Arabidopsis thaliana: one gene and its partners. The protein of the gene in region 1 interacts with the protein of each later gene in a pairwise test. Each region holds a gene or a part of one and is shown in the gene's direction. Other genes may lie near its edges.

Region 1 (6,135 bases):
CTCAACTGAAATTTCATTCTACTCTTGCTCTATATTGCAACTATCTTAAATTTAAGGCAGGTCTTGATCATGTATAGACAAGGTTTTCTGGTTTAGGTCACTTGTGTAGAATCTAAATAGTCTAGTGTTGAAGTCTTTATAACCTATTTTAAAATTTTACTTTTTGAAGTAAAATTTGTTTGTTGAACCGAAGAAGATGATTCATAAATCAGAATCACAATCTTGAAGGCCATATATAGAGGCTAAATAAGATGGTGGAGCCATCCATTACTGCAGTTCTTTCTTAGCTTACAAACTTATACTAAATCGACTAGTCTTTAACATTATTTTTTTGTTTCTCTTTTTCAATTACCGGTAAGCGATTAGCCATTACGTGGATCATATAGTAACTTATATAATATGATTACATCTTTACTTGATTCAAAATGTCTCTACTACAACAAATTCTATATTTGCAAGCTAAGGATTACAAATTTGATATCAGTTTGTTGCTAAATTTTGAAAACTCAATGTGTTGCTAAATTTTGAAAACTCAGTGTGTTGCTAAATTTTGAAGGTTCAGTGTGTTGCTAAATTTTGAAAACTCAGTGTGTTGCTAGATTTTGAAGGTTCAGTGTGTTGCTAAATTTTGAAAACTCAGTGTGTTGCTAAATTTTGAAGATTCTGCATGACAAAACTTTAAAGATATTTCTGAGAAAACAAAGTGAAACGCTCTGACATTGGATAATTCATTGTGTCTCTTTGTGCAAACCGAATATAGAACTACGACAAGATGACTTCATCACCGTTATGTCTGAATAATAAAGTACTAAAGAGTGTCTAAATGCGTGCGAATTAAAGTATGAGTGCGTCCAAATTATGGGTTTCGTACCAAAGGCCCAATATCAAAGAATGTGTATCTTTTAGTGGGAATAATAAAACGACAAAAAACAAGGATAAATTCACAACAAAAAAATGGAGATGCGGGGTATCGATCCCCGTGCCTCTCGCATGCTAAGCGAGCGCTCTACCATCTGAGCTACATCCCCATTTGCTCTTCTATATGAAATTTGAAGTATATAATATCTCATGTAAGGAGAGAATCATTCTTATGGATTCAAGATGATTTTAGTTTGGTAGGACCTATAGATTCAAGATCGTGTTCATATCTTCACTATCCACTCTTGAATCCCTGATGTCAAGATCCCAATAAATCCATCATTCGGGTATTAAATTTCTACCTAATATTAAAATTTGTTTTTTTTGTTTTGGTATATACTAAAGAAGACCCTTAACGTCACCACATTATCTATCACAGAAAATTGTATTAATATATTCTCTTTGTTTCTATACCAAGCAAAATATTTTACTATTTTACATTATACACTAAATAAGACCCACCATTGTTGATCAAATTGACTATACTTATCTTGAGCCGCCGGATTCAATTATTATAACTCCAACATCAATCTCACTATATATTATACTTGTCTCTATAATTCAACAATTCAAGCTTTATCTCTTTCTTTCTCTCCTCTCTATCTTTCTCTCACACTCATGGGTCTTCCAACAGATTTCAAAGAGCTTCAGATTCCAGGTTACGTACTAAAAACACTTTACGTCATCGGTTTCTTTAGAGACATGGTCGATGCTCTTTGTCCTTACATCGGTCTACCAAGTTTTCTTGACCACAACGAGACCTCTCGATCCGACCCGACCCGACTCGCTCTCTCCACGTCAGCAACTCTTGCCAACGAGTTAATCCCGGTGGTTCGTTTCTCCGATCTTTTAACCGATCCGGAAGATTGCTGCACGGTTTGCTTATCCGATTTTGTATCCGACGATAAGATTAGACAGCTGCCGAAGTGTGGACACGTGTTTCATCATCGTTGTTTAGACCGTTGGATCGTTGACTGTAATAAGATAACGTGCCCGATTTGTCGGAACCGGTTCTTACCGGAGGAAAAGTCCACGCCGTTTGATTGGGGTACTTCAGATTGGTTTAGAGATGAAGTGGAGAGTACCAACTAATAATGATGGTTTTACTTTTACTTTTTACTTTTTTCACGGTAATATTTTTCTACTGTATAATTCTTTCTTCCAAACTACTGTATAATTCAAGTATAAGATTATGTAATTGTGTATATTAGCATCAATCATCTTTCTTTGTTAAAGAACCGTCTGTATAAAATCTTCCAATGTAATCTGCTTTTCTTTTATTTGAATAAAAAAGTGGACAAATAAACACATCAAGTGTTATGGTATATCGCTATGTTAGGAATCTGAATTCATTTTCTTTTGAAGAAAAACAGTATTCATAATCTAATTCGTCTCTACCAAATAGAATTTGTAAACAGTTTTATACCGAAAAATATCTTAAAGAAACTCTTAATTTGTCTATTAAAATCCATGATACTATTTTTATTTGTACTTTATAAATTACAGAATGAATTAATACGTAAACTACCTTAGTCTTTGTCAAAATTGATATAAAGCAATATATTTTATTCAAAAAAAATAATAGTTTAGAAGATATTTCATCCACTATAAATCTATATGTCTTTCGACGAAAAAAACAAATTTTTGCCTTTCATAATATCTATCAAATGAATCTTTTTTATCATATTTAAATTCTTTCTGTTGTACTTTATATAACTACTACAAAATTGACATAGTTTGAATTAAAGCGGATAATCGACTTTTTAACTGATATTATTTGAGTTTTGCTTTGCTAAAATCATATACTATATTTAGGAAGAATTGTTAGAAATGCACATTTTCCATTACCACTTTTCAAAAATGTCATCTCTCTAAAACATTTATCAAAAATATCTTTAAAATCTGAAATATACCTAAATAAGTGTAACTTTATAAGAAAACTTAAACAAACTACTTTTATACGTTTGTAAAACTTTATAAATTTTTGGATGGAGTCTCTGAATAGTCGTTACCATTTTGAAGTAGTATTAAAGAACTTTTTTTTCTTTGAAAAATCCTTTAAACAGTGTTATTAAAATTCCTTGATGTCAATAGTCTTTAAACTGTGTTATTAAAATTCAACCATTCACCGTTTTGCAAAGAAAAGTATATAGAATATGTATTCTCTTTTGTTTTGACATCAATTTGGTTATACTTATCTTCAGCTGCCGGTTTGAATTGTACTCCAAACACAATTATAAATCTCACCATTTTTTATTATACACACTTTATTCTTGTCTCTATAGTTCCACATCTCAATCTAGCTCTCTTCTCTATCTTTCTCTAAATCATGGGTCTTCCTGAAGATTTCATCACCGAGCTTCAGATTCCAAGTTACATATTAAAGATACTTTACGTCATCGGTTTCTTTAGAGACATCGTCGATGCTCTTTGTCCTTACATTGGTCTACCTCGTTTTCTAGACCACAACGAGACCTCTGCACCCGATCTGACCCGACACGCTCTCTCTACGTCAGCGAGTCTTGCTAACGAGTTGATCCCGGTGGTTCGGTTCTCGGATCTTCCGACCGATCCGGAAGATTGTTGTACGGTTTGTTTGTCAGATTTTGAGTCCGACGATAAGGTTAGGCAGCTACCCAAGTGTGGACACGTGTTTCATCATTATTGTTTAGACCGTTGGATCGTTGACTACAACAAGATGAAATGTCCGGTTTGTCGGCACCGGTTCTTACCGAAAGAAAAGTACACGCAATCTGATTGGGGTTCTGGTTCAGATTGGTTTAGTGATGAAGTGGAAAGTACCAACTAATTGGTTTAATCTATGTCGGCAGAATATTTGTTGTATCAATTCCAGTATAACTCTATGTATATTAACATAGATCATCTTTTTGAAGGAACAACACTATATATATCTTTATACAAAAACAACACTATATCTAAGGATGTCAAAATGGATAACCCAACTCAACTTAACTCATAATCAAATGAGTTTAGGGTTAAATGAGTTATGGGTTGACCCAACTCATTTTGTTAAATGGGTTGGGTCAACCCATAACTTATTTAATTTGATGAGTTGAGTTGTTAAATGGGTTAACCTATTTAAATAGTAATTTAATTAATTATTATTATAAAATAATAATAAATAATTATCAATATTAATTCATTATCATCAAACTTAGGATATTTACCGATTCCACTTTTTACGGATTTACGTTTTCGACGAGAAAATCACGGGTTTACGTTTTTGGCGGAAAAATTATGGATTTACGTTTTTGGCAGGAAAATCTCGGGTTTACGTTTTTGGCGGGAAAATCTCGGGTTTACGTTTTTGGCGGAAAAATCACGGGTTTATGTTTTTTTGGTGAAAAAATTACGAGTTTACTTTTTCTCAATTTCATCGTTTGTATATTTAAGAAATTTGGAAAAATATTAATTTTATTAAATTGGTTTAGATGTGTTGATTAAACTTAAATTGACATTGGTTTAGAGATTTTAGTTGGTTTAATTCAATTTTACAAAACTTAATGGGTTAATTGGGTAAACCATTGAAACCATTAACCATTATAACCCAACTCATTTTACTCATCAAACCAATTGACTCATCAACTCATTTGACCCATCAACTCATTTGAGTCAAAATTTTCAACTCATTAAGGTTCATGGGTTGAGTTGAGTTGAGTTGACCTATGAATTTTGACCCATTTTGACACTCCTAACTATATCTATTATCATCAGATCAATGTACCGAGTTATAATTTATTTTAATATATTTTCTTGTTACAAAATTCATTAAACATATGTTTTTTTCTGATGGTTTTTAATACTATATAAACTAAAGAATGATTAAATATGTACAACTAACTAGGTATTAAAAAACGATGTTTTTTAAAAAGAAAATAATAACTAAATCAAAGACTTTTTATTTAAAACTCCATTTTATTTCAAAGATATTACATCTTTTGAAGAAATGTTTTCATTTTTGATATACGAAAAATAATAACAATTTCGGAAACATTTTATTTCGAAAGAAATAAAAATCGAAAATAATAATGATTTTTATTTATTTCATGATTATATTTATCAGTTAAATCTTTTTATCATATTAAAATTACTTCAACGTACTTCATAATATATGAATTTGTCAAAAAAAAAAAAAGTTAATAAAAAATACACATTTCTCATATAGTATATGTACATGGAAAATATGGATTAAAGCAGGATATTCGACCTTTTTACTTTTGTTATTTGTGTTTTGTTTGCTCTGTTTAAAACATATACCATATTTTAATATTTGCTTTGAGTTATTATGTCTATAATTTTTTTGAATAATCAAATCAAATTTAACGAATATTTTGCCATGTCCTACTCCTAGCTACAGAGTGTACCATTTGATAATGATAGGTAACTGATATGGAGTATATACTAAACTAAATTCCTAGTATACAAGAATCTTATTTGTTTTAGTAGGTTTCGTTTTTTTTAATCAGAAAAACCAAAGTTAGGTAAAAGTTTGTCAACAAATCGTGGATCCACGAATACATCGAATATCGTCTACATTCATTTGAAGTAGTGAATGACGCAACCGTTGAAATTGAACAGTCAAGTCAAGTGTACACTTTTGAATCTTCAGTCTTCCAATGTGTGTAAATAAATTTTCAATACTAATGATGATTCTGGGAAGGTTCATGATATGCACGACTTGTCAAAAGCTCTCACATTAAAATATGTAATTCTTTTTGTTTCTTAAAGTATAATTGAAATATGTATGTCTACATCTCCATATGATCAATGCTTTAAACCAAAGAAAATCATGTTTCTGCCAATTTGTGTTTGGAACAAATAAACCTAATGAAAGGTTAATAAAACCAATGTGTTTAGATTTTTTTTTTCCAAGTAAATTAGTATATAAAAAGAATATATTTATGTTATGTGAATAATGAATGCAATCTAAAAAATTACTATTTAAAGTAGGTCTTTTTCTACATTTTTTATATAATTAGATAAGACACGCCTAAATAGTTGGATTGAATATATAAGTTATTGATGGTGTATGAATTCTAAAAAGTAATCTGTATTTTCTTAATATTTAATTTACTAACTTTTTTAAAACCAAATTTTAATCATACATATTTCATATTTCTATACACTTTAACAATCTATTCCATCATAATAAACTTAAATTTAAATCTACATACTTCATCTAATTTATTTGAATTT
Region 2 (8,213 bases), on another chromosome or scaffold:
TTGCTTACCTTGAAAATGAAGACATCTTTGAATAGAAATAGACATGCTCATGAATATATATATTAATGTTATATACTATCATATATCAATGTTATATATCATATATATACACACGTAAGGTTAACGAATTAGATATGTCTGTAATGTATACCTTGTGAATGAAGAAACTAATAGAAATGAGTTATATATTCAAAAAGAACAAGAAAAGAAGAAAATAAAATTAAGAACAAGTGAAGAGCACTTCTCCTTTTTTTCTTTGATGTTTTGCATATCGGGTCTTTTTCAAAACCGTTTTCGTCCATGACCGATCAACTAACGTTTCTTCATTTCGTCAAATTAGTTATATACAAAACATACATTTGTTGTTGGTGTATTTTATTTTATTTACCTTACACAATATATGCCGACAAAAAAAATGTGTTTAATTTGAAAAAGAGCCAGGGTTCGGATGTTTTTCTTTTATGTTTTAAAACAAAGCAACACTATATTATAAATATAATATATACAATAAAAATATAATTAAGGAATAGAGATTAAAAAGGAAGAAGTGCAAATGGTTTTTCTTCCCAGAATTGTAAGCAAACCATACAACCATCCCTTTCTCATCATCATCATTCTCCCTTCATCAAGTCTTCTCTCTTTTCTCTCTCTATTATAAAACAAACTTCACTCGTTCACATCAATGGATCCTTGAGAAAGACAAACAAATTGAAGAGAAATAATAACAATTAACTCAACCAAAAATATGAGGAAGCCAGAGGTAGCCATTGCAGCTAGTACTCACCAAGTAAAGAAGATGAAGAAGGGACTTTGGTCTCCTGAGGAAGACTCAAAGCTGATGCAATACATGTTAAGCAATGGACAAGGATGTTGGAGTGATGTTGCGAAAAACGCAGGACTTCAAAGATGTGGCAAAAGCTGCCGTCTTCGTTGGATCAACTATCTTCGTCCTGACCTCAAGCGTGGCGCTTTCTCTCCTCAAGAAGAGGATCTCATCATTCGCTTTCATTCCATCCTCGGCAACAGGTTTACATTTTTACCATCATTTTGGTTTTGACATAATAACAACAACTAAGAGATAGAATAAAATATGGAAACTAGTGGCCGGAAGATAAATATAAATGTTCTGGCAAACTAGCTTTTGTCTGGTGAGTCTTGTTTTTAAACTTGTGTAGCTTAATTTGTTTTCGGTTAATGGGTACAAAGTTAAAGCATAGAAAAGCCAGTCAACTGATTTTAAAAAAAAAGTCCACCCTAAAACGACCAAATTGTCAAATTAGATCTTGATAACGTTTTCACCATATTTTATTTGATTTTTTTTTTCTACCAAATAAATAAGAAGTGCAGAGCTATCTATTTAGAGGTATAATATCTATGTTTGTTTTAAGGACGAGTTTTCAATTATACTATTACATTAATCAGTAAAAAGTAATACTATATATATAAGATACGTTAACATCGTAAAATGTATAATCAAACTTACGTGGAAGGATAAAGTTTGGTCGAGTTTTCATTGGTACGATTAGTAACTGTTTAAATTCAAAGGGAAGAATGATTGTGTACGAAGAAAATTGACCCAAAAGAAAGTTGAATTAGAATAATAGTAGTAAGAATGGAAATAGACGCATAAAACCAAAATAGGTATGAGTACATTCACATGTAATTATGTGAGTGGTCAAAGTTCGTTGATCGTGGGTTTTAAGACTTAGAGTGCGTCTTATGATCTTATCTAACAACAAACACTTATTTTAGTGAAAGCGGCTTTTGTCACTTTACACACCTTTTCTTCTCTTCCTTAGGGTTTTACTTCAACTTTCATCTTTGTAATTATATATTTATTAGTTCCTTTTTTTGTCACTTTCTCCAGAAATATACGTTCTAGTGTTTTTTACGCAGGACATGTTTCCTCTCTATTTATATATATATATATATATATATATATATATATATATATATATATAGATTCAATTCAAAACACGCAGTGTGTATAATGTCATTTTATTGCTTAATATGATTGTGCAATTTTATAATTGTTGATATATTGCCTCTTTTTCACGTACTCAAACATAAAAAACATGAAGAACGGATCACTCTCTAATTCCCATGCAAACCATGCACTGGTATACATTTTACATAACATCATCTCATTAAACTATTCTACTCTCTTATTCTTCGATTTCATAGGTGGTCTCAGATTGCAGCACGATTGCCTGGTCGGACCGATAACGAGATCAAGAATTTCTGGAACTCAACAATAAAGAAAAGGCTAAAGAAGATGTCCGATACCTCCAACTTAATCAACAACTCATCCTCATCACCCAACACAGCAAGCGATTCCTCTTCTAATTCCGCATCTTCTTTGGATATTAAAGACATTATAGGAAGCTTCATGTCCTTACAAGAACAAGGCTTCGTCAACCCTTCCTTGACCCACATACAAACCAACAATCCATTTCCAACGGGAAACATGATCAGCCACCCGTGCAATGACGATTTTACCCCTTATGTAGATGGTATCTATGGAGTAAACGCAGGGGTACAAGGGGAACTCTACTTCCCACCTTTGGAATGTGAAGAAGGTGATTGGTACAATGCAAATATAAACAACCACTTAGACGAGTTGAACACTAATGGATCCGGAAACGCACCTGAGGGTATGAGACCAGTGGAAGAATTTTGGGACCTTGACCAGTTGATGAACACTGAGGTTCCTTCGTTTTACTTCAACTTCAAACAAAGCATATGAATATTTTTACGTCATCTTATTCTTTTTTCTATTGCGGTTTATACTCAAGATTCTTAGCCACACACACATAAATGCAAATATATATACATTGTTAGAGAGTATTTTGTATTTCGAATAATCTTTTCGTACTAGGGCTTGAGCCTTGAGGTGCCATGTAATGATTAGTCAATGTAAAACATATATCCTATAATAAATAAATAAAAGAAATAATAAGCACATACATTCTTTAATATAACAGGGGCAAACACTTGAAGAATTTTGTAATCAAGTAGCAATGGAGAAGATTGAACTAATTAAATGAAAGTTTTTCTGATGTTATATCTTTGGATAAAACTGAACATTTTGTTTTATTGAATGTACTTTAAAACATTTGGTAACTTTCTTAGACATTCACATTAGAAAGTATCCTCTTACATAAAAGAATCATGTATTCAATATTTGATGTCACACCTTACTCTAAACAAACAAATCAAAACTATGAACCATATAACACTCAAAGAAAAAAAAACGAGAGGCCGCTTAAGGGTTTACACTAGATTTAATTCCAAGCGAAGCCATCTCGGCCCATCTTGGACAATGTAATGAAAGCTACTATTCTATTGCCAGTTAATCTTTCATTGGACGATCCACTAGTAAACGCATAGTTTAAGATCTTTCAAAACCAAAAAACAAAGCTAATAAATCAATAGAAAATTTGTTGAGTGAAGGATTTTGCTTTGTATGTTTCGTCGATCTAAAAAGACCAAACCCAAACCCAAAATGGCTTTTCGTAAATATTTCAGCCAATAGGATGAGGTGACTGACCCACCAAAGACGGAGATCTCTATTTCTCACCTCACGATCTCATCTCATCATCACTCTCTCTCACTCTTGTCCGTATATTCCTTTTCTTAATCTCACCGTCCGATTCCAATCCAACGGTCAACATTTATCCAACTCTCTCTTTCCTCTTCTTACTCATTTCCTTCTTCACTTCCCTCTCCTCTTCACACCTCTCTCTCGCCGACGACGCTACAACCATGGCGTCTCTCGCTCTCTCCGGCTCCTGCTCTCTCGCTTTCCCTCTCAAATCTCGATCTCTCTCTCTCCCTCGTCCTCCTTCTTCCTCTCTCAATTTGACGAAACCTCTCCGATCTCTCGATTCTCGCTTCTCCTTACTCAAATCTCCACTTCCCGTCTCTTTACGCCGGAGATCATCAACTCTCGTTAAAGCCTCTTCCACCGTCGCTTCAGCTTCCTCTTCTCCAACTCCTCCTTTGGTTCCAGCTCCGGTTCCATGGCAAGGAGCTGCCATTAAGCCTCTTCTCGCTTCGATCGCTACTGGTTTGATTCTATGGTTCGTTCCAGTCCCCGAAGGTGTCACTCGCAACGCGTGGCAATTACTCGCGATCTTCCTCGCCACCATCGTCGGGATCATCACTCAGCCGCTTCCTCTCGGTGCTGTTGCTCTAATGGGATTAGGAGCTTCCGTTCTCACCAAAACCCTAACGTTCGCCGCCGCGTTCTCCGCTTTCGGAGATCCAATCCCGTGGCTCATCGCTCTTGCCTTCTTCTTCGCTCGCGGTTTCATCAAAACCGGTCTCGGTAACCGTGTAGCTTACCAGTTCGTTAGACTCTTCGGTAGCTCCTCCCTTGGTCTCGGTTACAGTCTCGTCTTCAGTGAAGCTCTTTTAGCTCCGGCGATTCCTTCTGTCTCGGCTCGTGCCGGTGGAATCTTTCTCCCGTTGGTGAAATCTCTCTGTGTTGCTTGTGGGAGTAACGTTGGGGATGGAACAGAGCACCGTCTTGGCTCGTGGTTGATGCTTACTTGTTTCCAGACTTCTGTGATCTCTTCTTCTATGTTCTTGACGGCTATGGCTGCGAATCCTTTGAGTGCTAATTTGGCGTTTAACACGATTAAGCAGACGATTGGATGGACTGATTGGGCTAAAGCTGCGATTGTACCAGGACTTGTGTCTTTGATTGTTGTTCCGTTTCTTTTGTATCTCATCTATCCTCCTACGGTGAAGAGCAGTCCTGATGCTCCTAAGCTGGCTCAGGAAAAGCTTGACAAGATGGGACCTATGTCTAAGAACGAATTGATTATGGCTGCCACTTTATTCCTCACGGTAAGTGTGCTTCTGCTTCATCGGATCTGTTCTTACTTATGGTGAGAGCTTGATTTGAAAGGTGCTTCAGTATTGAACATTGAGAGATTTTAGCTATTGTAGCTCCTTAGATTAAGCTAGGGCTTTGCTTCTGTTTAATGCATTTGCTTTGAGTGAAAATGTTTGTGGTTTTGGTGTTTTATTACAGAGAAGGTTTTCCTTTTCTAAAAAAGTGTTCTCCTTGACACAGGTTGGTCTCTGGATCTTTGGAGCTAAGTTGGGTGTAGATGCTGTGACTGCAGCCATTCTTGGATTATCAGTCCTTCTTGTGACAGGTGTTGTGACATGGAAAGAGTGCTTAGCTGAGTCGGTCGCATGGGACACACTCACCTGGTTCGCTGCTCTCATTGCGATGGCTGGTTATCTTAACAAATATGGTCTCATTGAGTGGTTCAGCCAGACCGTAGTCAAGGTTTGTTAAATGATTTGATGAATGCTTAATAAGCCTAATGACTTAGCATGCTAATGAAATGTTTTGACATTGTTTGGGTTTTGATTGCAGTTTGTGGGAGGATTGGGTTTGTCATGGCAGCTATCTTTTGGAATCCTCGTCCTCTTGTATTTCTACACTCACTACTTCTTTGCTAGTGGAGCTGCCCACATTGGTGCTATGTTCACTGCCTTTTTATCGGTTTCAACCGCTCTAGGCACTCCACCTTACTTTGCAGCCTTGGTTCTTGCGTTCCTTTCCAACCTGATGGGAGGATTGACCCATTATGGTATCGGGTCTGCGCCTATCTTCTACGGAGCTAACTACGTGCCGCTGGCTAAATGGTGGGGCTATGGATTCCTGATTTCAATAGTCAACATTCTCATCTGGCTTGGTGTAGGTGGTGCCTGGTGGAAGTTCATTGGCTTGTGGTGAGGACCACCATACACCAATCTTCCCATTCTTTTCCTTACTTATATATATAATCTCTTAGAACGGCTTTGAGATTCAGATTTGAGAAGGATTGAAATCAGGGTTATAAGGATTGAGCAGAGTTTTTCTGCAATTTTTATTCTCACTCACACACATTTTGAAGTGTAAGCAATCTTAACTTGCGTCAATTTTGTTTGATTTCTAACTTTACTGTTTCAAAGTGAGACCACCACTTTACTTGATAGTTACTCGACTTCCATAAACGTGTTAGTTGAGAGATTAATGTCTATTAGTCTATGAATCGCTGGTTAAAGTTTAGTGGAAAAAACAGGAAAGCAGAGAAAGCAATAGGAAATGAATGAATCTTATTAGCTGAAACAATATGTTATTATTTCTCATACAGTGTTCTTTGACAAATATGAAGGAGATATTAGAAACAATTGACAAACTGAGAGGATACAAAAAATGTAAATCAGAAATCCGGGAAGTAATAGAGGCGCACTTTGGCCATTGTTACAACAGAGATGATACAATAATTAATTTAATGAGGTGATAAAAATAAGAAAGTAAAGAAATTTCAGAAAGAAGCCTGAAAAAACTGAGCCTTTTAGGGTTATTAGAATCGAAAAAAGCTTACCCGGAGTTTGCTTTTGTTTCCGTTTGCTTTCTTGAATAATAAATAAACGAATCATCAGTTTCACAGCTTCACAGAAATGTGAACCTCTCTCTCGCAGCTGAGGCTCAGCGATCTAGGTGCAGCTGTTCAAGCCACGCATCAAGAATGTCGCTCTCACGAGTGTCACTGTTGTGAGGATTCACACTCGAACCACCTTGAGTCAATGGCCTTGCACCATTCATGTTCACAACACGGTTTCCGTTCCTAGGTGATGAAGAGTCTTTTAACATCTGCTGAGCCCATGAAACATCTGCTTCCCTGTTTGGGTTATTAGCCAAGGAATGAGATTTTCTCAACCGACCTAACTCATCTGATTGGACTGACCAATCCACCTTGCTTCCATGGGTCTGGTCCCAACTTGACCATGGACTTAATGGCGAACCAGAATCAGTCGGCATTAAATCACGGGGCAGACTAGATCCAAAATCACGGGAGCTTAGGCTGCGTGAATGTAGCTGCTGTTTCATTCGAGCATTCATTGGGGAAATAGGCTCTCCGCCTCGGGGTGACGAGGCTTGCTGCAGAAGAGAATGTTGCTCCACATTCTTTGGAGAAGACATTAGATTTGTCTTGATAGGAGAAAGCATGCTCTGCTTATTATTCTGCAGCTGATTAAGAAGCGCGGACTTGTGGGAAGGCGATAGAACAGATGAAACAGCAAGTTGATCAGAGAAACGAGGAGATGCAACCTCAGCTGAGAAGAGTTCCTCCAGATTTGAAGGGTTCAGTGTCTTAGGACGAGCGGAATGATTCATAAAGCGTGGACTGTGCATATCGCCAGCAAGCTGACGTTGCATTTCAAACTCATGCAGCATGCTAAGCTGCTCAGAAGGAATATCTCTAGCGTTAAGAGAAGATCTCAGACGACTCAACTGGATATTGCTTCCAGGAAGATTCAACGCCGGTATGTTCTGCTGAGGCCAACCCATCGATGAATGGGGCATACTACCATTTCCAGAAGGAGATATTGGTGGGGTGAACGAATGTTGAGCAGCAGATGGTGAGCCTGGTAACATGTTCAAAACTGACGCCATGTCCATAGTAGAGGCGGAAACAGCAGACGAAGCCCGAGGAGATGGCAATCCAGATCCTGTGGAAGGGTACAAGGGACGCAACTCCTCATTTGCGTGAGCAAAGAAGCAAACCCTTCGGTTGCAACCCATTCCGTCCTTGCACAATCGTGTTCTGTACTGAGCAGGGTGTAGCCAGCATTCAAAAACCCCATGAGCATATTCACACATATCACCTTGCTTACAGGATCCTTTCTTAAAATCCGGGCATGGAACACACGTATAGTGAAACTTCCTCGGGTCTCTTCTCCTTGCATTCTCACCTGGGTGTGCAAATGGACATTCAGTCCAGTCATGGGAATATGCTCGAGAACATGGGCGGATCTTGAACGAGAACATACGAAACTCATCGGTTGAATAAATCCCGCTTTTGATATCAGGCAATGATGGATCAATTGGGTACTCTTTCTTCTCTGATGCGAAAGTTACATCAGTACCGTGTGGCTTAGTCGGAGAGGATACTGAATCTAAGGAGAGTAACGAGGAACCATTATCAGGGGATGATGAGAGAGACCGGAAACTTGATCCCAAGCTAGATGACGAGGCATGCAGATCTTCAGATATAATCTCGTCTTTCTTCAAGATCTCTTCAAGGATGGTTCTCAAACCAGGAGCGTGTGGAGACACAACAAGAACATCAACAGGACGATTTCCATGAGCATCAGGGATATTAGGATCTGCTCCTACACTCAAAAGCAACTTGACAACATCC
Region 3 (8,213 bases), on another chromosome or scaffold:
GTGTAGATAGTTGTGTTGCTTTCTACAACTTGATCAAATCACTAATTTCCAAATAAACCGCGTCAAACCCCAAAAAGTAGGAAGTATATGGTAATATGGACATACATCATCATCATCATCATCATCATCATCATCATAACCACCTCTTCTATTTTCATATATGTTTTTTTTTCTTGTTTGCTTGTATTGATTAGTTTCTTCGTATAATGACAACCCAACTGAACTGAATTCTTTCTCGATTTAGTTTTTGTTTTTCTTTTTTCATGCATATATTACACCGAAACGTACATTCTTTAGCAAACGTAATTATAAAAGGATGCCAAAATCTAACCAGTCCAAATTATTACGAGTTCATATTTGAGTTATTTAACCGAACCGGACCATACTATTTAGTCATCACCTCCTAAACCATTGTTCACTTTTCACATATGATACGGACTTAGTTGGTAGGTATATGGATTATGGAGTACTATTTTATTACAATAACTCTCTCATAATTTTCACAATAAAAAACACGTGTGTACACTGTATACATACGTACACCATAAAACATGTGTTTTTGTGGTCCACGTATATCCAACACGTACATATATTAGTATAACAGTGTTGTTTTCAAAGATTAGAAAAATATCATTATATATTATTGTATAAACCTATTGAAAAGTCTGCTAAATTATAACTTTTTGCAATGCTTCCCATCGTACACCCTTTTTTTCTCTCTTACAAATAAATTTCTTGTTCAGGCCAGTTTGTTGGAATTCTAAATAGAATTGGGCATTGCTTTTTATTTATTTAAATATGTAGACTCCACTTATAAGGAAAAATAACTGGTATTTATGTAGTTGAATTTAAATGAGAAATGAACTGGAAGCATGCAAAAATAAAAATAGAATCCCTAATCCAGAACTATCTTTGTATAATTTTTAAGAACATCAGTTTCTTGGTCTGAAGTCCATATTAATTTTCTTACATGCATGTGCAGCCAGGTTCTTTTTGGTCTGCAATGCCATGAAGTCTTCCTTGAATTGTTATTTTTTTTTTAGTTTAAAGTAATGTATATTTGTGTGCATTAAAAAAAGAAGAAGCAAATGTTTAGTGTGAACACTGTACTACAAAATAATTTGGAGTTGGGATCTTTCAAGTCAAAACCTAATTGAAAAGGAAGAAAACACTGGTTATATCTATGACTTTATTTTGGGTCGGCTTAATAACGGAGTTTAGGACTTTATAATGTATACGATTCATCTTGCACAACAATCTACACGTATGAAAACTATAATTTTAAATACTAAGTATTCATCTAGATATTCTGCTTATCAGGAAGATTTGTTTATCTTTTTTTTTTTTGTTTATCTTGAACTCAAATAAAGACTTAAGAGGATATGAGAATCAATTTAGTGAAACAAATGTTGTGTAGATAAGATCCTGGGTCCACAGCTTTGTCAACAACAATGACTTGTCATCGTCTATGCCTAGCAAGTATTATAATAGATTATAGACAATTATGAGCGAATAAAAATCACTCAGTGAAACATACTATTGAATAATTTAGAGGAATCTTTCGAGAATTCGAAAGAGGACACAACATGTTTAGCTGGACGATCTTCTAAGGTTTCACCTATCGGATCATATATTACGAAAAAGTGAGAGTAATTATTAATTATGAGCTCCAACAAACAAGAGCAACTCAAATCAAAACTTCTGGACTAGACGCAGTAATTAATTAGAAAGAAAAAGACACGACAATTAAAGAGAAAGTTATTCTAGAAATTATTGGAACAGGAAAGCTTCCTCTATATATTTGCGATGGAAACAGAAAAAAACAATGAAACAAAAACATAGCCAAATGTTTTTACCACATGATTTTACCAAAGCTTATTAGATCTTGGTTCTTAGACTGGCGAGAAACTGAGAGAGATCGGTGGAGGAAAAAGGGATGAAATATATAGAAGTTGGATTTTGCTTCAATTAGGGTTTTGATTTGATGATTTTTTTTTACTGAAACAGAAACTGAACGGTGTTTCTAACTGTGAATTAGGATGGTGTTAAGATGGCAAATATTATATGTAAAAACTCTAGCGTAAATATCCAATGAGATAGCTAGTTAGATATTGTTTTGGCAAATGCTAGGTGTTTTTTTGGTATCATTTCCCCTAAGCATGTGTGTGTTTAGGTTTTTGATTAAAACTAGCAAATTCTGTGGACTGCAATACTCATCATATATGCCAAACTTCGAAATCACATCAATAATAACCTCAATAAATGTGAAGTAACTAAAGTGGACCCTTTGCCTCTTGTCTTTACATATGTAATCATCCATTTATGAACGGAATCTTATGAAATTTATGAACCGATAAGTAATTAATTATTTATTTTAATTTATAGTCTTTTTTCTACCCCATTGGTAATTTTGGAAACCAAATATCCAAAGCAACCTCTATCGCTTTACCCCCACCCCCATGCAGGTATACGTACAAATGTGCAATTTGGTCGGTCAACTGGGTCTTAGTCAGTAGCCAAATGTCTCCAACATTAAATTGTAAGAGAAGATGGCAATATGCATTCATATTGTAACAAACGTATATGTCCTCTAGACGGGCGTGATCTACCTTTAAGATTAGTTCAAAAGCATAAAGTCGACTGATAGCACAAAATGATGTCTTGCCAAATGTGTATTTCGGGTAGTTCGATGTTTTTGGGATCGGCAAAAGTTATTTGAGAAGACATTCATATATATATATATTTTTGATTTACGGGAGTAGGGTAAACATAGAACAATACACTTTATAGATATTTATATATACAAGAGAAATGTGTTTTTAATTAGGATTAGCTGGGAAAAAGAGAGGCTGGCTCTAGATCTTTTATACAGACACCTACCGACTTATAATTATTATCACTGCACATGCATGTGGATCATATATATTAAAAGTAAATTACATGCATAACTTACATTAAAACTAATTATTCATTATTCTTGTTTAGTTTTTGATACTTATAAAATTTTAAATTCTTTATCCATAAAACTAGAATTTTTTTAGAAATATACCATTTTTACTATGTGTATATATATATATATATATATATATATTTTAAAATTGACCATATGTGTTGTCCATTTTCAATTATACATATTTCAAAAATAATATATTTAATGTCTGTGACGGCTTATAGTGGTTGAATAATCATTCATATTTATAAAATCTTATAATTCATTTAGAAAATCTTGTATTTAAATTTTTTTTTTATAAAAAATCTTATATATCGTTATACATAATTGAAAATATACAATATATGCGGTTATTTAAAAAACATATTACTTGGATATTTTTGAAATTCCCCCATAAAAGAAGGGATTTTTTTTGAAATAGCTACAAAGAACATAAATTAGAAAGTATGTTGACTTTATTCGTAAATTATAAATGCTAGTAGATTTTAGAGAGAAAAAAAAAACGAAACCTAGTTTTTCTTTTACGCAACCGAAACCTAAAATTATTAAATTGATAGGTTTGACATATATAATATAATAATTCGATCGAAAAATTTGACTACAGAAATCTGAAATCATAAACTTGGTGTAATGTAAACATACATATCTCATTAAACAAAAAACTAATATATAAAATAATTGACTTTTGAAACAATATATTGACTTACTAGTGTAAAAATGGGCCTACCTAAATCCAGCTAACTCAGCCCACACATTAAAAAGAAACGTTAAAGGGAAAGTAATAAATGAAAATGAGTCACTCAGAGACAGATGTCTCTATCTTTCACAGCCAAATTCACACCATTCTTTATTTTCATTTTTCCCCCTTTGCCCAGATTCCGACAAAATCCACTCGTTTGATTCCACCACTATATATAATTGAGCGGAGAAGCTTGACATGAAGAGCAGAGTCATTCTTAACCATAGAGACAGAAGAGATAAGAATCATAACAACAACAACACCAATCATTACACACAGGTTGATACTATGGAGAGAAAGCCTCTTGAGGTTGAGCCATCTACTACGACGACTAACACCGATGTGGTCGATTCTTTCGAGGAAGAGCAGAGAAAAATCGTTTATAGAGGATGGAAAGTCATGCCTTTTATCATTGGTAACGCTCCTTTTTACTTGTTTGTGTCTAATTCAGACATCATTTTTTTCTTTTGGGGTGCTTTGTCGGATTTTAGGGAAGTGTAACATTTTGTCCGTGATGTTTTTAAATTTCGTTTCTTTTCTCTTCTCTTTGACTTGACTCTGTCAAAAATCTCGAATTTGGAGTTCTTTCTCTGAGATTTCGAAGTGAAATTGGTTTTAAAACTGAGATTTCGTTGAAACAATGAAACCCAGATAATCTTACAGATCTGTCTAATGGAAATTATATTTTTTACAATTGTTTTCATTTTATTTTCAAAGAGACTTTTGAAATCTTTAACACAAAAAACAGAGACTTTAAATCATGCAGTTAAGTTTCTGAAAAAAGTAGATAAGATTTTTGTGAATTTCTGGATAAGACAAAATTAGTTTATGGGAGTTACAAAACAGTTATAAAGTTTCATGTGAACCAAAGTCAGAACATTGGAAGTCCAAACTTTGATTTGTGTGTTTCCTTGTACATTAAATGTAAAAAAAAAACTGTAACTGTATTCTTAATTTCTTATCATTAATTTGCTATTGTAGGTAATGAGACATTTGAGAAGCTTGGGATCATAGGGACATTATCAAACCTTCTTGTGTACCTAACTTCTGTATTCAACCTTAAGAGCTACACAGCTGCAACTATCATCAATGCCTTTAGTGGTACAATCAATTTCGGGACTTTTATTGCTGCCTTTCTTTGCGACACTTACTTTGGTCGCTACAAGACTCTCAGTGTCGCTGTCATCGCTTGTTTTCTGGTACTACTTTTATATATAATCTTTCATGACTCCGGTTTCGTTTTCGCCAATGTTTTCTAAACCATTTTTCATCTCTGTAGGGATCGTTTGTGATACTACTTACTGCTGCAATTCCGTCGTTGCACCCCGTTGCTTGCGGAAACAAAATCTCGTGCGAAGGGCCAAGTGTGGGACAGATACTGTTTCTGCTCATGGGTTTAGGCTTTCTTGTGGTAGGCGCTGGTGGTATCAGACCGTGTAATTTAGCGTTTGGTGCTGATCAGTTCAACCCCAAATCCGAATCAGGAAAGAAAGGGATCAACAGTTTCTTCAACTGGTATTTCTTCACTTTCACGTTCGCGCAGATCATCTCGCTCACAGCAGTTGTGTATATCCAGTCAAATGTGAGTTGGACAATCGGTTTGATCATTCCGGTGGCTCTTATGTTCTTGGCGTGTGTGATTTTCTTTGCTGGCGATAGATTGTATGTAAAAGTGAAAGCCTCGGGTAGTCCATTGGCTGGTATTGCTCGTGTTATAGCAGCCGCGATCAAGAAACGAGGTTTGAAGCCGGTTAAGCAGCCTTGGGTCAATCTTTACAACCATATCCCGTCTAACTATGCAAATACTACTCTAAAATACACCGACCAGTTCAGGTAAATTGATATCTACTTATTCTTGGTTCTCTTGCTTTATGTTTCTGGCTTTTGTTTTGCTGAAAAATGTTTGTTTATTATGTTGCCAGATTTCTAGACAAAGCAGCAATTATGACCCCCGAGGAGAAGTTGAACTCCGATGGAACGGCTTCCGATCCATGGAAACTATGCACGTTGCAGCAAGTGGAAGAAGTGAAATGCATTGTAAGAGTGATTCCAATCTGGTTTGCATCCACGATATACTACCTTGCAATAACTATACAAATGACTTATCCGGTCTTCCAAGCGCTCCAGAGCGACCGACGATTAGGTTCTGGTGGCTTCAGGATTCCTGCGGCCACCTATGTAGTGTTCTTGATGACTGGCATGACAGTTTTCATCATATTCTACGACCGTGTACTTGTCCCGTCGCTCAGAAGAGTGACCGGGTTAGAAACCGGTATATCACTCTTACAAAGAATCGGAGCTGGGTTTACATTTGCGATAATGAGTTTATTAGTTTCCGGGTTTATAGAGGAAAGGAGAAGAAACTTTGCATTGACCAAACCGACACTCGGGATGGCGCCTCGGACAGGAGAAATCTCATCAATGTCAGCGTTGTGGCTGATTCCGCAGCTTACACTTGCAGGCATAGCAGAAGCTTTTGCTGCCATTGGACAAATGGAGTTTTACTACAAGCAGTTTCCTGAAAACATGAAGAGCTTCGCGGGTTCTATCTTTTATGTCGGTGCAGGGGTTTCGAGCTACCTCGCTAGCTTCTTGATATCAACTGTTCATCGAACAACCGCGCATTCACCTTCAGGGAATTGGTTAGCTGAGGATCTGAACAAAGCGAAATTGGATTACTTCTACTTCATGCTCACAGGACTCATGGTTGTTAACATGGCTTACTTCTTGTTGATGGCTAGATGGTATAGATACAAAGGAGGTAATGATGAAGACATCACTGAGATTGAGACCAATGAAGAAGAAACCAAGCAACAGCAGCTACAAGACAAGAACTCTGTCTGATCTGGAAACTTATATATTTTTGGTATTCTACTTCAATCTCCGTAGTTTTTCTTCACCCGAAATCAACCTTGTTGTACTTTTATAGATTAATTGAAGAAGAAAATCACTTCATCTTTGTAGACATGTATTGTAAAATAAGTTTTTTGTTGCTAATTTCAACCTCCGTACGAAGTTTCTGTTTCTTCTTTCATCACCACAACAGAACAGAACATAACAAACCGCTAAAAGAAGGCTACGAGGATTCGATATTTATATGCAATATGTATGTATTAACTACAGACACAACCTTCATGACCCAACTGAAATCAGCTTGCACTCACTTTCTCAGACAGTGTAAGCTTGTTGAATGGTTTCTATGTCGAGTCCTTTGAGTCTCACCACTGATTCAACATGGCCCTTGAGCGTGTGAAGTTCACGCAACCTATAAAGAAGAGAGCAGTAGACAGAGAGAAGACGATGAAAAAATGTTCTTTTGTTATGTTCAAAAAGCTGGAGAAGATTTGGCTTTGAGTTACTTTACCTAGCAATTTCAGCTCTCCTCTTGGCTTCTTCAGCCATTTGGTTAAGTTCACTGACATGGGTTCGATCTGTGAACATCTTAGTATCTGGTGCTTGTAGACCATGGAGCGTTCTTTGTGCGTGAGCCCATTGCAGCTCTCTTTGTTCTTTCCCAAAATCTTTTTGCCTTGTGAACGCAACCTATGAAAATGCAAGAAACCCGATAAGAAACTTTAATGTATAAAGTGGCACAAAAGCTATTTGTGTTCCTAATAACATACCCTTTGTTCGATAACAAGATCCCAGGCTCTGCCACTAAGAGCGTAGCGGATGAAGAATTTGATGAAATCAAGGGGGATGTAGAATATGATGTTATAGAGCCAAATGACCCCGGCCCATCCCCAACCTATTCCTTCTATCGCAGCAAAGCTCCAATTTGCATAGACTGCAATTAGAGTAGCCACCTGTTTTGGAAGCAAAACAAAAATTCATATAATTAGACCCAAAGCTCATAACTTTTGAGGTTCTCATTGTGTACTGATCACACAGTTAACAAACTTCCGGAATTACCAACTGAGCGAGGATAAAGGCAATCATAAGAAATATCCCGGGACGTTCCACAAAAGACCAGCTTCGCGATCGGGTCACAAAGATAAGTGCCTGACTGATAATACTGACTTGCAGGTATATGGCTGAGGCAAGCTTTCGGAAATCATCATGAGCAGTTTTCTCAAGTGTCGCAACTCCAAAAGTTCTCTGAAGTTTCAAGTAAGAAAAGCTGAGATTAGCTGTTAGTGAAAGAATTAACAAAGCAAATAAAACCAACGAGATAAACACAAGTGACGGAGAGGAGAGAAAATGTACCGGGAAGAAATCGGTTTTGTATGAAACCCAGAAAAATATAACGGTCATCATGGCCATGTAACTGCCAAAGACAACACCGGTAGCAAAAATCTCAGAAAGCTTCCAGCTATCTGGAAGAGGGGAAGGTTTCACCCTGTCCTTTGATATTGTCATGATCGTACCTAAACGTCAATTCCACAAGAGTTCATTGGTATATCAGAGTCTAGAGGAACTAATAGAAAACTCTGAAAGTCTAATTATGATCGAGAAAAAGAGGAAATAAGAAATGAACCATCATTAAGAATGGCAATGATAAGGACCATGAAAGGTGGGAAGTCA
Region 4 (7,683 bases), on another chromosome or scaffold:
AGATCTCTCAAACAACTCTCCCGGTCACCAGTGGCTAAATACAGCCAAGCCCTCAGCTCGAGACATTCTGGACTAAGCTTGAACTGAATTAATCTATCAATCTCTTGGAAGGCTTCTTTAATCTGCTTCTGTTCGAATTTCATTACGGCTCTGTACTTGTACGGAAAAGACAGTGTCGGGTCAAGTTCAGTGGCGGTTGCTAAATCTTTTAGTTTCTCAACTCCAACATTGTACAGAGACCTCTCCTGGTACATCCATCCATGTGGCTTGTGATTAGAGATGAGAAAGTTCATGAGCCTGTACGCCGAATACCTCTTCCCTTGTTTATATTCAGTTCTTGATACCCCAGCCAAAGAGTAGACATGCCCTAAGCTTGAAGCTAATCTGAAATGAAACTGGGCTGCTTTGTAATCCTTTCTCTCAAACAGAACACATCCCATTTGATGCAAAGACAAAGCCTTTTGCCAGTTTGTACGAGCAAACTCTCGAGTTCTCTCTAGCAATATCAGCATAGTGTCCGTCGTGAGTTTCTCTTCCATGCCTACTTGGCTGAGGAAGTAGTACAACAGGAACACACACTCTGAACCCAGAAAAGCTAATTGCTCTTTTGCTTCGGAACTGCAGAAGAATCTCATCACTTTGGGATTGTGAAGAGACTGAGGAAGCTCTCTCAGAAACACCTGCAAGCAAGCAGATAAGAGAAGCGTTGTGCGTTCCTCCAACGCGTACTCTACAAAGGTTAAAGCTTTATCAAGGTCAGTGACAGAAGCAGCCAAGCGAGCCTCACATTCAGACTTCAGATCATCGCAACAGAATTTGCTGGCTAATTGAAGCAGCTCAAATACAGTTTCCACACGAAACAGATCAACTCTTTTGATTCTACTATATATGTTGAGTGCCAACATTGCCTCAATAGAGATGCCATTTTCCGAGAAATCAATCTCAGAAGTTGTTGATTCCACGAAAGAACCATACAACATGGCCTCAAAAGGACGCGAAAGCGCTGCGATTCTCGACCTAACACACTTAGCCTTCTCTGAACCTACGCAGAAGGAAATATCGCTAACCTCATCTAGACCCGAAAACTCATCAGCCTTAGAGATTTTAACGTCATCACTACCAAATTCATCCTCACATACCGTAGAACATTCACAACCCTCGTCGTCTACATTCAAATCACAACCATGAGTCAAACTAGTCTTCGGACATTCAGAAGCAAGCCCATTACAATCCATAGATTCAACTCCCACAAGTTCATGTTCTCTCCTAAAAAATCTCAACCAAGCAGAGAAAACAACCTTACAAGGGACATCAATGGCGTGCCTCCTAGCGTTGAGAAGGCACCTACGCAAGAGCTTGGCATCACCGAGACTGCGGAGAACAGCGTACTGCTCAAGGTAGAGCATCGATGCCTCGGATTCCGAACTGGACTCGATTCTCCGATATAGATTTGATAATGACTCCACCAAATCGATAGGTTTGAGGTAAGAGTCCAAGGGAGGCTCGAGGAGGTCTGTGGTGGGAAAGCCATGAGGGAGAAGTGAACGAGATTTGGATTTGGGATGCCCAAGGAACTTCATCATTCGAGGGCTACCATTGCTGCTTGTAGAGGGAGAGTCTTGTGTAGTAAAGGCGTGGACTTGAGTGCTTTTAAATCTCTCAAAGAGTTTGAGATTGCGCATTTTGCTATATCACAGAAATCTGAGAAAAGGGTTTGATTTTGAAGTAAAGAGAGAGTGAGGGAGACGGAGAGAGCAAGAGAGAGAGAGAGAGAGAGAGAGAGAGAGAGAGAGAGAGAGAGAGAGAGTTGAAAACACAAGCTCTGTCTCCGGTGACAACACACAGTGCAGAGACAAAAAGGAGAGAGAGAGAGAGAGGAAGAAGAAGACGATGAAGTGTGATTGAGAATATAAATTATTTTTATAAAAAGGTCAATAATTTGGGGAGAAAAAAGAGTAATGGCGTCGATTTTTGCAAACCCAAAAAACATTTATATGGAAAAAAAATGGTCGAATCTCATATCTGTTTTTCTTTCTTTTATGCATTTTTTTGTGGAACAGTTTACGAACTTCAACAGTTGGTGGTTCTTATTGGGTGCGATACGAACCAGACCACTTTCCTTTCTCTTTCCTTTTTGTGTAAAGACCACTTTCCTTTTTTAAAACAATATTTTGTTTCTGTTTTTTTGGTGAGGAAATATTTTGTTTCTTTGTTAAATTGTTATTTTTTTCCATATTTGAAGATATTGGTATGGCTTTTAATTTGTGAAAATTTGGGTTTATTACAGAGTTATATGATGATTAAATATAGTTTAGAGAATTATAGATGGTTGGTTCGTTTCGGGTATAATTAAAATAAGCCTCTCTGACTATCCAACGTCATTGATTCATGTGATGCCAAGATAGGTAGGTTAACTAGTTATGTGGTTTCTTATCGGTTATCTCCTATCTAAACAATTGAGCTTAACATTAAACTTTGAAGATATTAACTTATCTCTCTAATGAACGAAAAAAATTCAGTTTTATTGGTTGATTGGTTATGATTTCAATGACTAACAAAGAAATGGTCTTTAATTTATGTACAGCATGAATTTACTCAATTTATTACATACAACATGATTTCAAAAAATTGCTTAAAATTTTGCAAAACATTTCTTTACTGTGATCACACTAATCATTTGTTAATCTGGTGTCTACTTTTTTACTCGCTAACGTGAGCGTGTATATTTATATTTTCTGAGATCTTCATAGTTTTAGGTTTTTAGCTTGTAGTTAGTTTTTTTTGTTCTCGATATTGGACCAACAACTATCAGGAAACGCATAATTTATTATATATATAAAAAACTCTCATAAAACGTACTGTATTAAAACAATAACAAATAAAAAGTGGAGAGAACTATATCCAGAACCAATTCTGATGTTCTTTTGCCCGCACACCTGGAAAACACATGCAAGTGTACTCTTTAAAGATAAACATATATACCATTTGCGAAATAATTGAGGATTTTTTTTCTTTTGCCAACAGATAAATAATATAAGATTGTTTCAGAAAAAAAATAAAGATGGATAATTGAGGATTAGGTTGGCATTATTTGATGCAAAAAATACTAAAGAAAATCTCACATTGAAATCAATTAAAATAATTTTCTTATGGTATATACAAGTTGATGCAAAATTGATAAAAGATTAAACAAGGCAAGAGACGTGTGGTCATGTGTCTCGGCAACCCATGTGAGGGAATCTGAATCACTTTTTTTTTTTTTTTTTTTATGTTTCTCGAATCTGAGTAGCACAATAATTGAATTGTGTTTCGTAACTAAATTAGGGATTTATTAATCATGAAAAATTATTTGATGAAATCAAATTGTGGTCCGTCTAGTTGACTTATACCAGCCCAAATTATTTAGCGAATATAAAGCCCAAACTAGGCCCACAATAACAAATTATGCGTTTCCTCAAACGAACACCACCATGTCATGAACCATTCTAGCCGAATCCAAATAGAACGAAACTAAAATTGCTTTAATCCATATGTGACCAGATAAAGTAAAACACTCCTTTTGGGGAAATAAATATCCACTTTTCACCATCTTTTTGGTAAACAATAAAACAAACCAAATTTTGTGTGCTTGAGCAACAACAACTACCAACCAGTTACTGTCAAAAAAAATAAATGAAAACGTAATCGAAGAAAAGGTCGTGTTTTCTAGTGTTGCAGAAAATGGCAACTACTAGTACTACTACAAAGCTCTCCGTTCTCTGCTGCTCTTTCATTTCATCTCCTCTCGTTGACTCTCCTCCTTCTCTCGCCTTCTTCTCTCCGATTCCACGATTCCTCACTGTCCGAATCGCGACTAGCTTTAGATCGAGCTCTAGGTTTCCGGCCACCAAAATCCGCAAGTCTTCACTCGCCGCCGTGATGTTTCCGGAAAATTCGGTTTTATCAGATGTCTGCGCGTTTGGAGTCACTAGCATCGTTGCGTTCTCGTGCCTCGGTTTCTGGGGAGAGATTGGCAAACGTGGCATCTTCGACCAGGTTTTCGATCATTCAATTCACTTAATTAAATTATACACGCGTCGATTTGTTGAATAACGTTTTTGGAATGTTGCTCGATTCTGCAATTTCTGGTTAAAGCAACTTTGGATTCAGAGTAATGGTAGTAGTAAGCTTTATCGAGTAATGGATGGCATTAATGGCGAGGATAATAAATCTTATTAGTTCAAGAAATTATAGAATGTGAATGGATACCTATTTTGGGGTGGAAGAACACTGCGATAAACAATGGGAAAGTAACCCCATATCTGGTAAATTAGTGGGAAAATTGCTCAGAACCCAATTTGGGGATGAAATTTTTTTGAAATTCGTGCGGTATAATCACAATCTCATCGTAACTTGAAGATTCAACCATATTTATGATATATATGAATTTTGTAGGTTTAAATGTTGCACAATTTCTTTGCTATACTTTGAAGGATTATTTCTTCGTATGAGTCAGTCTATACACATATTGGACATGGCTTGTTTTTTTTTCCTTTCTCTTATGTGTTTCTCCGCAGTGACTTGTTTTTCTTCAAGTAATTTGGTTAGGAGTAGAGGAATTATCTATGATTAGCAAAAATTCTATTAAACATTTTTGGTTTGGGAATACCTGTATGGCTTCAGCTACTTGATTTTGTTTCTCTGACCTTATCGTGATTAAGATATCATCTCAGAACCCATTGAATTTATAAGATCCACAGGCTGTCTGATGTAGGACTGACTCCACTTTCATGGTTTTATTGAATGAGGCATTGGTTTAACATCTGTGGTTGACATTGGTGTTATTTCTTATTTTTCAGAAACTCATCCGGAAGCTTGTGCATATAAATATTGGGCTAGTTTTTATGCTTTGCTGGCCGCTGTTCAGGTAATAATACGGAGTGAAAGGATCGATTTTGATGTACCAGCTTGCTTTTCTGCTTCACCAGTTTATTTCGATATCAATTGTTTCAGTTCTGGAATCCAAGGAGCACTTTTCGCATCTCTTGTACCTGGACTCAATATAGTAAGGATGCTATTGCTGGGGCTTGGAGTGTACCACGACGAAGGAACAATCAAGTCAATGAGCAGACATGGAGATCGCAGGTAGCTGAATCGAACAAGTGTCTGTCACAATATCCAACAATCTCTTAGCATTCTTGGTATCTATGATCAAAATTCGGTTTGTCTGTTTATTATTGCTTTTGTCACTTCACAAAGTGTCTGTAGTCGCTCTCTGCATCAGGGAACTACTTAAGGGGCCGCTTTACTATGTACTGTCAATCACATCAGCCTGCATCTACTATTGGAAATCATCCCCAATCGCGATTGCGGTGATATGCAACCTTTGCGCAGGAGATGGTAAGTACAGTTAGCTCTGGTTTGATCCAATAACATTAGCAACTTTTGTCTTAGGAATTTGAATCCATTGAATGATGATTCTAATACACACACTTGCTGTTAAAAGGTATGGCTGACATTGTGGGTCGGCGGTTTGGAACAGAGAAGCTTCCTTACAACAAAAACAAATCATTTGCTGGTAGCATTGGAATGGCCACCGCCGGGTTTCTAGCATCTGTTGCGTATATGTACTACTTTGCTTCATTTGGTTACATCGAGGATAGCGGGGGAATGATTCTTCGTTTCCTCGTCATCTCTATAGCATCAGCTCTTGTGGAATCACTCCCAATAAGCACCGACATTGACGACAATCTCACCATTTCCTTAACCTCTGCCTTGGCCGGATTCTTACTCTTCTAATAATACCCTCTCGTTGTTATGTATCATCAAATAAAGGGTCGAGCTTGATTGCTGATATGGAGGTAAAACTGCATTCATTGTTCCCATCTTCTTCTGTATGTACGTATTAGTGAAACATCTCATATTGTTGTTGTCCACAAATCTTATTTTTCAGCTGCAATTGCAGTTGGGTACAATGTTGTAATGTTCTATCCATTAGTGAGACATATGATGACGAACAGTGACGCTTCTACAATTTGTAACAGATACTCTTTTGTAACAGATATTCAATACATGTTTGTTTGTTATTTGGCCTATGGCTATGTGGAAATGGATTGTTTGCTTACAACAGGTGAGGGCTTGAGTGTCCCGCTCCAGGAAGCCTCTTCTGACAGGTCGGACTGGTGACTGTAACGGCGTTTCAGACAAGGAAGCAACACGAGGAACAAGAGGAAGACGGCGAAGCTGATGACAAGAACTACCGTCAAGATCTCACCATGCATGGCGTAGTGTCTGTCTCTAGTGAAAGTAAGTCGTTCGCCATCTTCAGGACTCGAGGCCTCCACCGTAGAAGTTACCATTAGAGAGGTAATCTCAAATATTCTCAAATCTCAACTCCTTTGCTCATACCTACTTCATACTGTCATGCATCATCTTGGAGGGATTTGTGTCTGTTTCTTTTTCCTCTCTGAAATATAAATTTGACTTGGGAGAATATGTATCAAATGAAAACAATATGTCACCACAGAAGAAAAGAAGAGTTTAAATATATTTCTTTGGGATAATTTAGTAGATGGATTTTTGTATAAAGGTTGGTGTAGAAAGTGAGACTGGGACGTTCGTTAGTGATTGCTCTCTACATATGGGGCGTTGGATTGGGTCTTTTTGGATCTTACGTGCGACGTCGTTTTCGTAATTTGAAGAAAATCCTTTTCGTGTGGCTCCCATAACCGACTCCGTGACTTTCCCGGAAATTTCCTCAAGAGAGAAGCGACCTTGTGTCTCATGTTAGTTGCTTCTTCTTCTGCCCTTATTTATATGAATACAAAAATTAATTACTCTTTGATTTGGCCCATTTAAAATTGCTAACTTCTTCACGCATTCTCGAAATAGAAGAAAACGTGGTATGCTTGTATTAATTGAATGGTTCTGAAAGAGACATTTTCAGAAGAAACAAAAAAGCAATTGTGCCAAACTAGAAGAAGAAGCTATAATCGAGGTGTGCTCTACTGAGATTTTGCATGGGTGCTGCAAAAAAAAAAAAGAGATTTGAATGGGCCATGAGATGGGCTTTTAATAAAAAAATCATAACAGAAATTAGATGACGTGGAGTGTCGTTTTCTTTCTATTCGAGGTGACGGTGAGAAGGAAAACCGTGTCGTTTATATGATTAAGTAAAGAAACGCTTGCCGTTTAATATTTTAGCTTGGCCTGGGTGCCGTGGCAAGTCATGATTGGTGGTTTCTTCGCCGATGTAAAATTCAACAGATCGAGAGAGAAAAAACTCTCTCTCCCTCCTCCGTTCACCGTCGCGACTCGGCTCTACAGTGTAAGCTTTCTGATTCTACGGCGATTTCGTTTCTGTATCTATGCTTGTAGACTGGGTTTGTTTTATTGGATGATTTGATTTGGAACCTGAAACAGTAAAGTTGTGAGGAATGAGTAGTAGAGTTTCCTATCACAGAAACTCCAAAACGAATCTGTTAGATAGTGATGATCGACTTTTTTGATTTCTGGAGAAATTCGCTTTTTCTAGGGCTCCTGATGGTGATGGAAATCTCTCTTTACGATTTGGTTTTGATTTTCTCGCAGACATTTTGTTGAGCAATCTCGTATTTAGAGGATTCCAATGTCTGGCGCAGAGGATAATAAATCTTCCCATGCTCAGGTATTTGTTCATTTAGTCTCATCTCATGATGAATTCAA

Evidence for each region.
Region 2: the proteins of RHA1A (region 1) and DiT1 interact in a protein complementation assay, tested with the Arabidopsis thaliana proteins (one large-scale study listed by BioGRID).
Region 3: the proteins of RHA1A (region 1) and GTR1 interact in a protein complementation assay, tested with the Arabidopsis thaliana proteins (one large-scale study listed by BioGRID).
Region 4: the proteins of RHA1A (region 1) and FOLK interact in a protein complementation assay, tested with the Arabidopsis thaliana proteins (one large-scale study listed by BioGRID).

Annotation. Positions count from the first base shown.
Region 1 is NC_003075.7:6,904,530-6,910,664, forward strand, and holds RHA1A (RING-H2 finger A1A), read left to right. Parts: upstream 1-2,958; 5' UTR 2,959-3,247; coding exon 3,248-3,727; 3' UTR 3,728-3,913; downstream 3,914-6,135. Other genes in the region: RHA1B (RING-H2 finger A1B), read left to right, coding at 1,537-2,010. UniProt on the Arabidopsis thaliana protein: Probable E3 ubiquitin-protein ligase that may possess E3 ubiquitin ligase activity in vitro.
Region 2 is NC_003076.8:4,057,472-4,065,684, reverse strand, and holds DiT1 (dicarboxylate transporter 1), read left to right. Parts: upstream 1-3,395; 5' UTR 3,396-3,765; coding exon 3,766-4,854; intron 4,855-5,083; coding exon 5,084-5,305; intron 5,306-5,395; coding exon 5,396-5,758; 3' UTR 5,759-5,834; coding exon of another isoform or gene 5,835-5,835; 3' UTR 5,836-6,106; downstream 6,107-8,213. Other genes in the region: MYB46 (myb domain protein 46), read left to right, coding at 746-1,026, 2,185-2,746; AT5G12850 (CCCH-type zinc finger protein with ARM repeat domain-containing protein), read right to left, coding at 6,497-8,213. UniProt on the Arabidopsis thaliana protein: 2-oxoglutarate/malate translocator involved with DIT2-1 in primary ammonia assimilation and in the re-assimilation of ammonia generated by the photorespiratory pathway.
Region 3 is NC_003074.8:17,696,446-17,704,658, reverse strand, and holds GTR1 (Major facilitator superfamily protein), read left to right. Parts: upstream 1-3,735; 5' UTR 3,736-3,887; coding exon 3,888-4,104; intron 4,105-4,670; coding exon 4,671-4,888; intron 4,889-4,968; coding exon 4,969-5,522; intron 5,523-5,611; coding exon 5,612-6,533; 3' UTR 6,534-6,717; downstream 6,718-8,213. Other genes in the region: HA4 (H[+]-ATPase 4), read right to left, coding at 6,858-6,954, 7,054-7,232, 7,313-7,495, 7,602-7,787, 7,896-8,056, 8,167-8,213.
Region 4 is NC_003076.8:23,666,793-23,674,475, forward strand, and holds FOLK (Phosphatidate cytidylyltransferase family protein), read left to right. Parts: upstream 1-3,474; 5' UTR 3,475-3,720; coding exon 3,721-4,035; intron 4,036-4,838; coding exon 4,839-4,906; intron 4,907-4,992; coding exon 4,993-5,124; intron 5,125-5,263; coding exon 5,264-5,379; intron 5,380-5,485; coding exon 5,486-5,778; 3' UTR 5,779-6,077; downstream 6,078-7,683. Other genes in the region: EOL2 (ETO1-like 2), read right to left, coding at 1-1,682; AT5G58570 (uncharacterized protein), read right to left, coding at 6,078-6,338; AT5G58575 (SAGA-associated factor-like protein), read left to right, coding at 7,607-7,645. UniProt on the Arabidopsis thaliana protein: Kinase involved in negative regulation of abscisic acid (ABA) signaling. Substrate preference is farnesol > geraniol > geranylgeraniol, but has no activity with farnesyl phosphate. Can use CTP > ATP > GTP = UTP as phosphoryl donor.